2 linked regions of the Saccharomyces cerevisiae S288C genome follow. Changing the gene in region 2 together with the main gene of any one other region gives a genetic interaction. Each region holds a gene or a part of one and is shown on either strand. Other genes may lie near its edges.

Evidence for each region. Genes that interact genetically often act in the same process or in processes that back each other up.
Region 1: of PDR18 (region 2) and ZRT1, changing one suppresses a phenotype caused by changing the other (phenotypic suppression), as found in Saccharomyces cerevisiae (one study listed by BioGRID).

What each region holds. Positions count from the first base shown.
Region 1 is NC_001139.9:18,755-22,608, reverse strand, and holds ZRT1 (high-affinity Zn(2+) transporter ZRT1), read right to left. Parts: upstream 1,632-3,854; coding exon 501-1,631; downstream 1-500. Other genes in the region: FZF1 (Fzf1p), read right to left, coding at 1-305. UniProt on the Saccharomyces cerevisiae protein: High-affinity zinc transport protein.
Region 2 is NC_001146.8:763,169-771,612, reverse strand, and holds PDR18 (ATP-binding cassette multidrug transporter PDR18), read right to left. Parts: upstream 6,239-8,444; coding exon 2,237-6,238; downstream 1-2,236. Other genes in the region: YNR071C (aldose 1-epimerase superfamily protein), read left to right, coding at 145-1,173.

The sequences.
Region 1 (3,854 bases), on a different chromosome or scaffold from region 2:
GATGCAAGCTTGCTTTTTCTTTCATGACTATTTAAATGCCTTCTTAATTGCTGATTTGTGACAAATCTTTTTTGACATAATGTGCACGCTTTGGGCTTGATTTGTGAATGAGTCCATTTGTGAACTCGTAGATGGCACGGTCTTATAAATTTTTTGCCACATCCCGGCTCATCACAATGATACGGCTTTTGATTGGTATGCGAATTTTGGTGTTGCTGAAGCAAACTAGGTCTGTTGTAGACTTTCTCACAACCGTCAAAAGAACATTTGTAATTTCTAGACTTGGTTCTCCCTATATCCGTCATTGTTTTGGTGGCCACGTATTCTGGTACCACTTGTGCACACCAGCGTAAAAGTTGTCATTTTCATCTTCTTTAGCGTATTTATTGTCCGAGACTGTTAAAGAAAAATTATTACTGTTTTTTTGCTATTACTAAAGAATAAATAACTATAAAATATGAAATAGAATCTATATGGAACATGCAGAATTTCGCTTTGGTTTAAGCCCACTTACCGATCAAAGCCATGATACCAGCACCGAAAAGAGTGCATATAACGTTGAAGGACAATTCTCTTAGATCCTTTGTTCTTTGAGGATTGAATATAAAGTCTCTTGCTAGTAGTTCAACCAAACCAGTGTACAATAAGATACCAGCAGAAATGGCATCCAAAACACCAGAGATAACAAGCGCAGTGTAAGAACCGCTGACGTATCTGGTACGAACACCCAAACCGATGGCCACACAGATTGGTGTGGTTAACCCATACGCAACACATAGGGCCCATGGCCACCATCTCTTTGATCTAGGGAATTCAATGGCTGACAATCTTGCACCAATACCTAAACCTTCAAATGATTGATGGAACACTAAGACAGGGTATAGGGAGGAGAACTCATCACCAACACTTCCCAGGTTTAGACCGATCATAACGGAGTGGAAAATCACACCGAATTCTAAAATTAAAAAGGCATAAAATTGTGCTTGAAATGATTGAACAACATCCATGGATGTAGCGTCTGAATCTTCATAATACTCTACTCCGTTCTTGGTGTCATGAGATCCATTTGCAGTACCATTCTCATTGTCATTCTCACTTGAAACAGCTGCAGTGTTTCTCACAACAGTGTCTTTAATTTCATCGTGGGTATGGTCATGGGAAAGACCATACTTTCTTTCAACCCAGACGCTACTGAATAGATCAGTAAGGAAAGTGAAGGTCAAACTCGTTAGCATAATGGCAGGACACCATGAATAAAGACCCCAGTTACCGGTTTGTCCTACACAAGTGGTACCACCAATCGCACCATAAGCAGGGTCCATTAAGTGGATAAATGCGGTTGCAACAATAACACCGGAACCAAAATACTTTGCGAAAAGGTAAACATATAGAGGAATTCTCAATCTTTTCACTTTTGTTGAGATTAATGGGAACATGGTGAAAAAAGTACTCACGAAAAGAATAACAAAGACGGAAGATATTCTGGCACCTAAGTTACCATTGTACTCGTTTCCACCAAAGTAAACACCTTGCAAAACACAGGTCTTCCACACATCATCAGGGGTTTTATCGGCAAGTGTAACTTCAGAAGGGTCCCATTGTTTCCACCACGGCGTAGTAACGTTGCTCATAATTCCTTTTTTGATATTTGTGCTGTTGTTTTATTGTCTATACTTGCAGTTTTTTTGTAAATAGGGAAGAGATGAGATCATGACAGCCGATACCAGGCCTCTATTTATAACTAAGTCATCGAGCTAATGCCGTGCGTAATTTCTTTTTTTCTTAATTTCGTTCTACACATTTGCTCTCAACCTACTTTCCATGACCTTCAAGGTCAAATATGTTCATCTGTCTCATCTCATTGGAGAGAAGATACCTGAGCACATCTGATAATTTTGGGAAATGTCATTGTAATTTGAAGAATACCGCACAGATGAGAACCTTGAGGGTATCTTTGGTCCTTCGAGGTTTTTACAGGCAAGAGAGTACGGGTGTATTGTTTTTTAAGCAGCAACTATATTTTTTTTTAGTTATCTGGCGCGCGCGCCTTAGCTGAAGAAAACTGACGGTAACGGTACCCCAAAGGTCACAATAAGTACTTGCGCCATGTTCTAGTGCATTTGACTAATTTGCCGTAGCGTGGATCTGCATTGTCCAAAGGGTAGGAGTCACATCAGGTGTTTGTTGCGCCCAGTTTGGAAACATTTGTCCCATAGAGTGATGAATGTGAGCTCATGTCGCCGTAATCGCCGTGTAATTTACCGCAGGAATTGGCCATAATCAGACATTAGTGTCAATTTGTCCTTTCATATTAGGAAAGTCTGAAATACTCTTGCCTTCTAGAAAATTTTCATAGAAGCTTGGCAATTGCTTCTCTCAAATGCTGTTATTTCCACCCTAATGAAAGAAGCATATCAGATTCAGAGATCTTGTTAAATCCAATTTTATGTCATAATGTCGATAATTGACGTAATTTCCATTTCGTACTATGTAAAATAATGCTTATTTGGCACTTTGGTGTTTGGCAGAATACCATTTCTTTTTATTAGGGACAAAAAAAGAAATATCTGACCTGAAAGTATTTTTTTTTTTATTATAGATTTTCTCTCCAGGTACATCTATCTCAAGTCTAACCGGGATTTGACGTCTAATAGATTTTAAAATACCAATTGAAGATTGGTGCCGCTTGTTTTCCTTCTTAAAACAAGCGTATTCTTTCTAAGGCTCTCCTCCCACAAAATAATCTTTAAAGTATCGATTATCAAGGTGGACACAAAGGATATAATGTGGAGCAGTGAAACATCTGCAATCCGGGAATCGGAGAGCATTTAGAAAAATTGTGAAGAAACAGCAAGTTTTAGGCCAAATAATTTTTCTTCTTGAAGCATCAAGTTATCCGTGGCATACTTTGAATGGAAACTGAATTAACTGCTGTGATACAGAACAAAAATAAAGAGGATGGCAGGGAGAGGAAATGATAAAATAAGTTACGCCACTTAAGCAAAAATGATAGATGAAGGGCCCAATTAAAGATCACTTTTTTCTTAGCGAAGTATGCGGGAGAATGCTTGATTGACTCTCGTAAAGGCTCTCGAAAAAAATAGGCGCGTTTAGTAACAAAGAACATGGTAGTACAATTGATTAATACTTTTTTTTTCTGTTTTAGCAGTGGAGCTCTTAGCGAAGGAGCGATGTGCTGTGGGACTTCTCAACCCCCTTCATTCTGTAATTTGCCTAATTCATATTATGAGGATTTGTCGTCCTAAAATTTGGAAGTAGCATATTTCTTCTTCACTCAAGAAGAAATACCCCTCTAGATATTAGCTTTATTCTGGTGGCCTGTCACTGTCACATATATTATTCAATGATTATTGGTTTTCTAGTTCCATTCGCACGATAACAGAGGAACAATCTATTTACAGTAGCGCTGATGGCATCTTGTGTGAAACTAATGGTATTTGCGTAGACAAAACCCAATACACATCTAAATTGTCGATACTTGTGAGGTGTGGATATTCTAACGATCAAAATAGCTTAGATGAAACGACTTGCTGTGCTGCGGGTGTGACTGAATGTATTTTCAACGTACTGAATGTACTCTCAACGTGGGCGTGAAGTTGAGGGCTGGGCAGAATCTAGAGTGGATCATAGCAAATATGTTAAACATAGAAGTAAACTGAGAGACTGACGAGTTTCTTTTGTCAACAGGCGTTGAATCTTGTTAGATATTAACGAGGTGGATTTTTGGCAGGTAATTTCGCAACCCGACTTTTCAATTTGCGCTTCCCATATTTTACACTTTTTTTAGTCAGTAAATGCAAACGACAGCAAATAAATGAATTAAATCAGCTAAG
Region 2 (8,444 bases):
GTAATAGACATGTGATACATTTTTATGTACACTCTATACTTTCAGCATATAAATACAGAGATAAGTTGAAGTTTGATAGCTCAATTGATCAGTTTGTATGATAAGCAGTGAAAAAAAAAATCAAAACAGATAACAAACAGCGAAATGTCAAATAGTAACGGTGATAATAAGTATGGTGTCATTACAATTGGTGATGAGAAAAAGTTCCAAGCTACCATTGCGCCACTTGGTGCAACTTTGGTAGACCTGAAGGTAAACGGCCAATCAGTCGTTCAAGGTTATTCAAACGTACAAGACTATTTAACAGATGGTAACATGATGGGCGCTACAGTTGGTCGTTATGCCAACCGTATCGCCAAGGGTGTTTTCAGCCTGGATGATGGTCCTCACAAGTTAACTGTTAACAATTGTGGTAACACAAATCACAGCAGTATCAGTTCCTTAAATCTTAAGCAGTACAAGGCGTCCCCTGTTGAGAATCCTTCCAAGGGCGTTTACGTTGTTGAATTTAAATTGTTGGATGATCACACACAGCCCAACCCTAACGAGTTTCCAGGTGACTTGGAAGTCACAGTGAAGTACACTTTGAATGTTGCAGAAATGACTTTAGACATGGAATACCAAGCACAGTTAGTTCGTGGTGATGCTACTCCAATTAATATGACCAACCACTCGTATTTTAACTTGAACAAAGTCAAGAGTGAGAAGTCCATTCGTGGTACAGAAGTTAAGGTCTGCTCGAACAAATCGCTTGAAGTTACAGAGGGGGCATTGCTTCCAACTGGTAAGATCATTGAAAGGAACATTGCTACTTTTGATTCAACTAAGCCCACCGTTTTGCATGAAGATACTCCGGTCTTTGATTGCACTTTCATTATTGACGCTAACAAGGATTTGAAGACTACAGATTCTGTGAGTGTCAACAAATTGGTTCCTGTTTTTAAGGCCTATCATCCCGAATCTCACATCAAATTTGAGGTTTCGACGACAGAACCAACCGTTCATTTGTACACCGGTGATAATTTATGTGGCAAATTTGTGCCAAGGTCTGGATTTGCCGTTCAGCAAGGTAGATACGTTGATGCTATCAACCGTGATGAGTGGAGAGGTTGTGTTCTTCTGAAGCGCGGCGAGGTATACACTTCAAAGACTCAGTACAAATTCGATATTTAGGTGAGGCTGAAGCTTTTTACGTTTGTTACGTTTCTTCACTTGCTTGTAGATAAAACCTTTATAATGATATATGATCTAGATTAAACTCAACGTTTGTACGTTTAAACCTAAAAGTTTTTGGACCTGTCCCAAAATAAATATTATCACAAGTGGTAGTACTAAATTGAGCGTAACAGGCGGACTCTGTAGGCTTTTTGTGAGTTTGGGGTCTGAATATTTTTTACTCTTAAAAAAGAATACAGAACTTACTAAAAAAAATCCGTACTAAAAAGGTAGAAACAAGAAATGGTTTATTTGAAAAAAATACTTTACGTCCCAGCCTCACTAAAATTGAGCAGGAAACCGTATATCAAAACTATCTACCAAGAGAGTTCTGGTAAAAACATTTATATGAATAAAGATTAAATTATGCCTATTTTTTTCCTAGCAGTACATTCACTATGTTTCTATATTTAACGCTTTGTCGTTATCCCGGATAAAATTCTTCAGGTTATTTGCAGACGTTTGTCACATTATTTTTTCATTGACAAAATTTCACGAACTCTAGTAATGTTCAAATTCAAATGTCATGCAAGGCCCCTATGAACATTATTACGCTGTTTAACCAGCGGATAATAATTAGATCGCGTTCGTCGTAAATATAAAACATACGCTCTGTAAGTAGGTCCCTCTGAACGTTGGCAATTTGACAGTGAACTAATGAGTCGTATTCATAAAGAAACATCAACTGTGTACCAAAATACTTATTTGGGATTATGTGTTTATAGCCTTGATTACCAATGTTTGCATAAATAGAAGTTACCCTATTTCTTTGAATAATATAACATTACATTTCTGCAATATTCACATCATCATATAACCCAAAATTCACAGTATCGTGTGCTAAATCGGTTAAAAAACCGCCTCACCTGCACCCATAGTATACCTGCAATTTTTTTCTTCATTTTCTCTTAAATTTACTTGTTATTCTTTTTACGAAGCCAATTTTCATAGGGGAAAAATGCTTAACTTGAACAACGTAATAAACCACAATCATACCGGCAATGTTGAAAAGGATATAAGCCTAAATGAAACCGAAGTTTCTCCATAAGTAACTAAAGCTAGCATTTATGCGCGCCAAGTATTCATCACCTACTTTGTACTGACAATAGGCGCAATCTGCTGTTGCATCTGGATTTGCAATATACCCAGTCCCAAATTCAAAAAACGGTTTGGTAAATTCACCACATGTTTGGCCTACCGGGGGGTTGAAAAGAGACAACTCTTTCTTTGAACATCTTACGGGTTTGTCATGCATCAATAATCCAACTAAATTTTGCAAAAAATACGTGTAAGGGGATAGTTTCCACATGAATGTCCAGAAACCAGGCATTAAAGAGGCAGGTTGGACAGCACCGCAGAAAGAGAGCAAAAACGAAAGTATAAAACCTACAATAACATTGGCAGATTGTAGATTTGGAGACATGTACAGAATCATTAAAGCAAGACCAATATAGTAAAGTTGAAAAAGTATGGCATAGTTCAGATAAAAAACACTTGACCTAGAGGCTTCGGTAAAGACACCCAGAGGGAAATATGATGAAACGAAAAAAATTGTTGAAAACAATAAATGGTAAGGCAATTCATTTAAATAATGGGTAATCAAAAGTAAAGACCAATGAAACATATTAGATTTGGACTCACGAACTTCATATAGCTCCTTAGCAACGGTAGCACGCTCCTGTATTTGGTTTGTTGCAGGAGCTGATATAACGATAGCCATGAAACAGGCAAATAAGCTATTTTGTAATCCAATAGCATTTACACCCACATGGAAAAAGGTAAAACCAATGAACAAGCCACTGATCATCAATAACATCATTTTGGCCATGATGTAGTTCAAGTTTCTCCAAAATGTTAAACTGGATCTTTTCAGCACATGATGGAATTGGTAGGAATACGATGTTGCATACTTAGAGGCCCTTGTAGCTGTTTTATGCAAAGTTGTAGAAGATAAGTCCTTAATCATGTCATTTATTTTTTCGTTAATGTTTGCATACTCGTGAGATTTTTGCCATATATCAGGCCAGTTCTGTTGAACAGAAGCGGTGGCCCCAGCTCCTATGGCTTCTAAAATATACTCTGCCGGATTTTCATTTTGTTGACATTTCCTGGCTCCGTTCTTTTCGAAATACTTAATGACAGAACTTGAATTTTTACCTATTTCACCAAAATAAATTGTTTGACCGCCTTTTCCCAAAAGCAATAATCTGTCAAACTGTTCAAAAAGAGTAGCTGATGGTTGATGAATAGTACATAAAATTGATTGACCTGCTAGAGCTAATCTTTTTAACATTTTGACGACGGCCCACGCGGATTGGGAATCCAAGCCAGAGGTCGGTTCGTCCAAAAACAATAACAGATCCGGCTTGCCAACTAGCTCAACGCCAATTGATAGTTTCTTTCTCTGTTCAACATTCAAGCCGTAACCAATTTCGCCGACAAGAGCTTCTGAGAACTCCTGCATTTCAAGAATAGATATAATTTTTTCAACATATTCCATCTTTTCAGCGTCAGGAATAGACTGTGGCCGACGCATACGAGCACTAAATTGTAGCGATTCTTTGACAGTAAGTTCAGCAACATGAAGATCTTGCTGTTGAACATAACCGGTACGCCTTTTGAAACTAGCGTCCATTGGGAGACCATCAACTAACATATCACCAGTAATCGTTCCCACGTTCCTTTGAGCCAAAGTGTTTAATAATGTGGTCTTACCAGCGCCGGACTCACCTATTAATGCTGTCAAAGTACCAGGAACACAGTAACCGCTTACGCTGTCCAGAAGTTTACGTTGTCCGCTAGAATGAGGAATTGTGAAAGAAACATTTTTCCAAATAAACACCCCGGTAGATTCCAAACCTTCAAAGTCTGCACTTGTGCTATCGTCGTTACTTGAAGCTATCTCTTTCATATCCTGTGTTGCTATAGAGGCATTAAGGTTCTCTTCGTCATTTTTGCTGCTCCATGATCTTTGTATAGCATTCTTTGTGCCCTTCTTGACGACCAGAGCATCACCACCACTTTTGACAGGACTTTTGTACTCAGTGAAAACCGCCCTCAAGACGATGTAGCCAATTAAGAAACACCACATGATGCCGAAGTTTCTCCAAGTATTTTTGTACTCATATTGATATTGGGCCCTCAAATAATCATCACCTAGGACCCAAGATTGGCCAGGCCTTGAACCAACAAAAGCACACACTTGATTTTCTGGCAAGATGTTTTCAAACCCAGGTCCAGAAGGAACCAAAGTGCCACCACAATCCATATGTCTTCCATGAAATTCTGCATTTAACATCGATTCAAATGCATATCTAATGGGTAGAATGTACGAAATCCACTTAAACCATGGATGCATTGAAGGTAATTGTATCATGTACGTCGAATACATGGCAATAGATAACATCACAACACCGGCAATGGAGTTGGCCTGGGACAATGTATCGCATAAAGATGAAACCATCTGAAACAAACTTGTAATAGCTTCTGAACACATTGTCAATAACAAATACATAGTAAAAAAAGCACCGGCGCTTCTATGCAAACCGGCTAAGAAGTACAGGATGATTATGAAAAATGTTAGACCAATCATTCTGAATGGAAAAGAAGAAATCGTACTTGCTAACGCTTCAGCTGAGGGATGATATAGTGAATAGACCTTGTGTTTTTGCAATATTGGCCTGTGCTCGAAACTAATATTAGCTAAACCCATCAAAGAATAATATAAGAGGGAAAAAAACAGAACGCCACTTCTAGAAAAGGCCCCTAGAGTTGAAGAAGGTGCTTGGTAGAACAATGACCCAGTGATAAAAGCCTGTGCTATAGCAGCGCATGTGTTGATAACGGTGTATGACTTATCACCGTAAATCCTTAGAAAACCTCTAATAGTGCAAAGTCTAATTTGCTCCCAATAAGAGACCGTATAATAAGATTTTTTTCTTGTACCTTTCGACTTTTCTTGTGCCATAGACTCATTGTATGTTTTTTTGGTCCATTCAGTATTCACTTCATGTTTGTACTTCTGAATTTCACCTTTTAGGCGGGCATATTCTGGGGAATCAAGCCAGTATTTTTCGAATTCATCAGCGGTATGAGGTACTTGATACTCAAAGCCAGGCTTTATTTCGTGCAGACCATTAGGATCAGTAATTGCGGTCAAATATTCAGCAGTCGATTGTCTCGGTGGACACAAGTAACCCATGTTTTCAAAATAATCTTTTGCTTCAGTAGTTTTGCCGCAAAATATTTGTCTTCCAGCGTATAGAACAGTGACTTTATCAAAAGTTTCATAAATGTTTTCACTGGCTTGGTAAACCGTAACAAGGGCCGTTGTACCTAACAGATTTGTCATAGTACGAATAGCTCGTGCAAATTCTAGCGCGGTAGAAGAGTCAAGACCTCTTGTAGCATTATCCCAGCAGTAAATTGAACCTTTCGCTGCTAATGCTTCAGCAATGGAAACGCGTTTACGCTCACCTCCAGATACACCGCTGATGAAATCGTTACCAACTTTGGTATCGAAAGTATGCGTCAAACCAAAAATTTTAGCATAGAATTCTCTATTGGCAGTAATATACTCTTCTTTCGTTACATTATTGACTCTTTTTGCGGGCATCTTACAGGAAATAGCAAAATCTAGAGTTTGTTTTACTGTCAAATGTGGGAAATGAACATCTTGCTCACCATTATAGATTACATCTGGCTTGTAATGTTGCATCATTTCTTTCTGAGGGATACCATCGTACGATATATGTCCTGTTGTTACACCACCTGCAAACTGACTGGTCTCACCAGCAGCGCTCTTTAAAAATGATGTACAGCCAGCGCCTGGTCTTCCTAGGACAAGGACCATCTCTCCTGATTTAGCCAGCAAACTGACATTCTTCAAAATGATCTTCATCTTATTGCGATTCTTCCGCTCACGGATACCCTTGATAATTGTCCATGGTAAACACAAAATATCGCCAAAGGTTTGGCCCTCCAAAAAAGAAGAATCCAAACCTTCTACTGAAACGCATTCCATGGCTACACCTGCCTTACGAAGATGAATCCCTTGTTCAGAAGCTTATTTAACATAAGATTTGATTATAGCTGACGCATCAAAAGTGTCGGGAATAGGACACCTCAATTCCGTATCGCCGTCTTTAACAGTATGGAAATCCATTATGTTTAGATTGATTTGAGGTCTACCATCACTACTTCTAATAAGAGTATATTAGTGCAAGTGTAAAATATCAGAATTCCCGGATACTTTCCTTGAAATTTCTTTGCGTGCAATGGAGTATATTAATAACTGCATTTTGGACGCTTACGTTATAAAGGGACACCCTTTACTTCGTAAGGAAGCGAAAAAGAAACGGCTGATTATAGCGATGGACAGAGAAAGGTTTCTTCTAAACTCTCTTCCTTCAGAAAATGCGTTGTGTAGCTGGGATAGCAGTGTTCAAATATAAGACATTAAGTAAAAAGGTACGTTGCAAGAGCAAAAGTTTTCATATTTCCAGCCACTAGCACAATAAACAAATGAAATCACGTTCAACTTCTTTTTTCCACAATAAGAGATCTTAACTCTAAAAGAATGGTACCTAAGCCCTCATATGAAACGAAACATAGATGTTTTACCAGGTGAGTCATATAAATATATATATATATATATCGTGAGAGATTCGATAGCAGAACATGTTCTTCTCTTGGACATCTTCCCAATTTTAATGTACCAGCAGTAACTAAAATGTTGCAGCACGGTAGCCACACCCTTCGCCGTCAAAGAGTTGTAACATGATTTATTTGTTGTTCGGGTATTCCTCTACAGTATCTTTTCAAGATTGAGTGGATCCTGCAGATATTACATGCCAATACAATCATACAATCATTCATTCATGGAAATTTTTTTTCTTCATGAGTTTGAAATAAGGCCTTTTTAGAACTTTCTGAGTACTCCTTCTAAACGCTCTGCTACAATGTATACTGTTTTCTCCCTTTCATCTTTATTAGAAAAGTTCATTAATTTTAGTTTTTACCTTTCAATGCGGCACGCTGACATTTTTTATTTTGTTTCATCTTTGTGATTTTCAAAAATAAAACTAAATGTATCCAATCTTGTCCAAGAACTTTATATGATCTTTATATAATAACAATATTTTGAAGTAACCAAAAATGTCTCGAATAAAATTACGGTTATGAGCCTAATTTATTTGTGAATTGGGAATATAATGCAGCCGAATAGTACTAACGTAGACAGCACCCAGACACTCAGGACCCTGATTTACGTTTATGCTTTCTTCCATCCAATGAGCTCTCAGTATGTCATTAACAAGTGTAAAATTGAAAGGATAAATCAAACTATAAACTTATTGAATTGTCAAACTATCAAGAAAAATCAAATAGCAAAAGCGTGGGTCTTTTGCAGCGAAAGGGCGTTTATCAAGACTTTTACGCGAGGGAATTGCTTTACGTTTTGAACAAGACAAACCACGACCACAAGCTAGAACGGCGTGCGAGATTAAAATTATTTAGACAGGATGTGGGTGCCATCATTCACAAGCTAAAAGCTATCATATTACGGCCCAGGAATGTCTCATACAAAGTTATTTTACTAAGGTGCTTACATAAATACCGTCTGCCGTCATATAAGCAACTGTACAGCTTGTGCAAGACTATATCCGGGCCCTAATTTTTTGCTCCCAAGGAACAATTGCCCTAGCCCTAAAAATTTGTTTTATTTCCCATATTTAGCTGAATCCGCAATGACCTTGCTTGTCTAATGGACAAGTTTATGACACCAAGCTAAAAAAACCATACCGCAGAAGTGAGAGTTTGGGCGGTTCGAACACGATTTGTTGATGCAATGTTAGTACGATAGACAATTTGAGAAAGGAAACTTTCAAAACGTTACTGTACACTTTAGAAGTGAAACTACAATGACCGGCTAACCGCATATAGCCCGTCAGTAATACCTTGGTCTAATGAATGTCTGCAAACAACAGAATTGGGAGGTTAAACCTTCGCCATCAATTTTCATGAGAAAGCGACCACATTAGGTGGCATCTTCAACAATCGATTTTTACAACACAATTGACTAAAGTGTGTACCACACCGAAAAACGTGCGCAATAATTTAGACCCTGGATGCGGCTTCATAGAATCAATGGGATTCGCGAACGACGCTATCATCCGCAATCTTTTCAGAGGTGCCAAAATGTGCAAATTCTAGAATGTCATGGAAAAAAA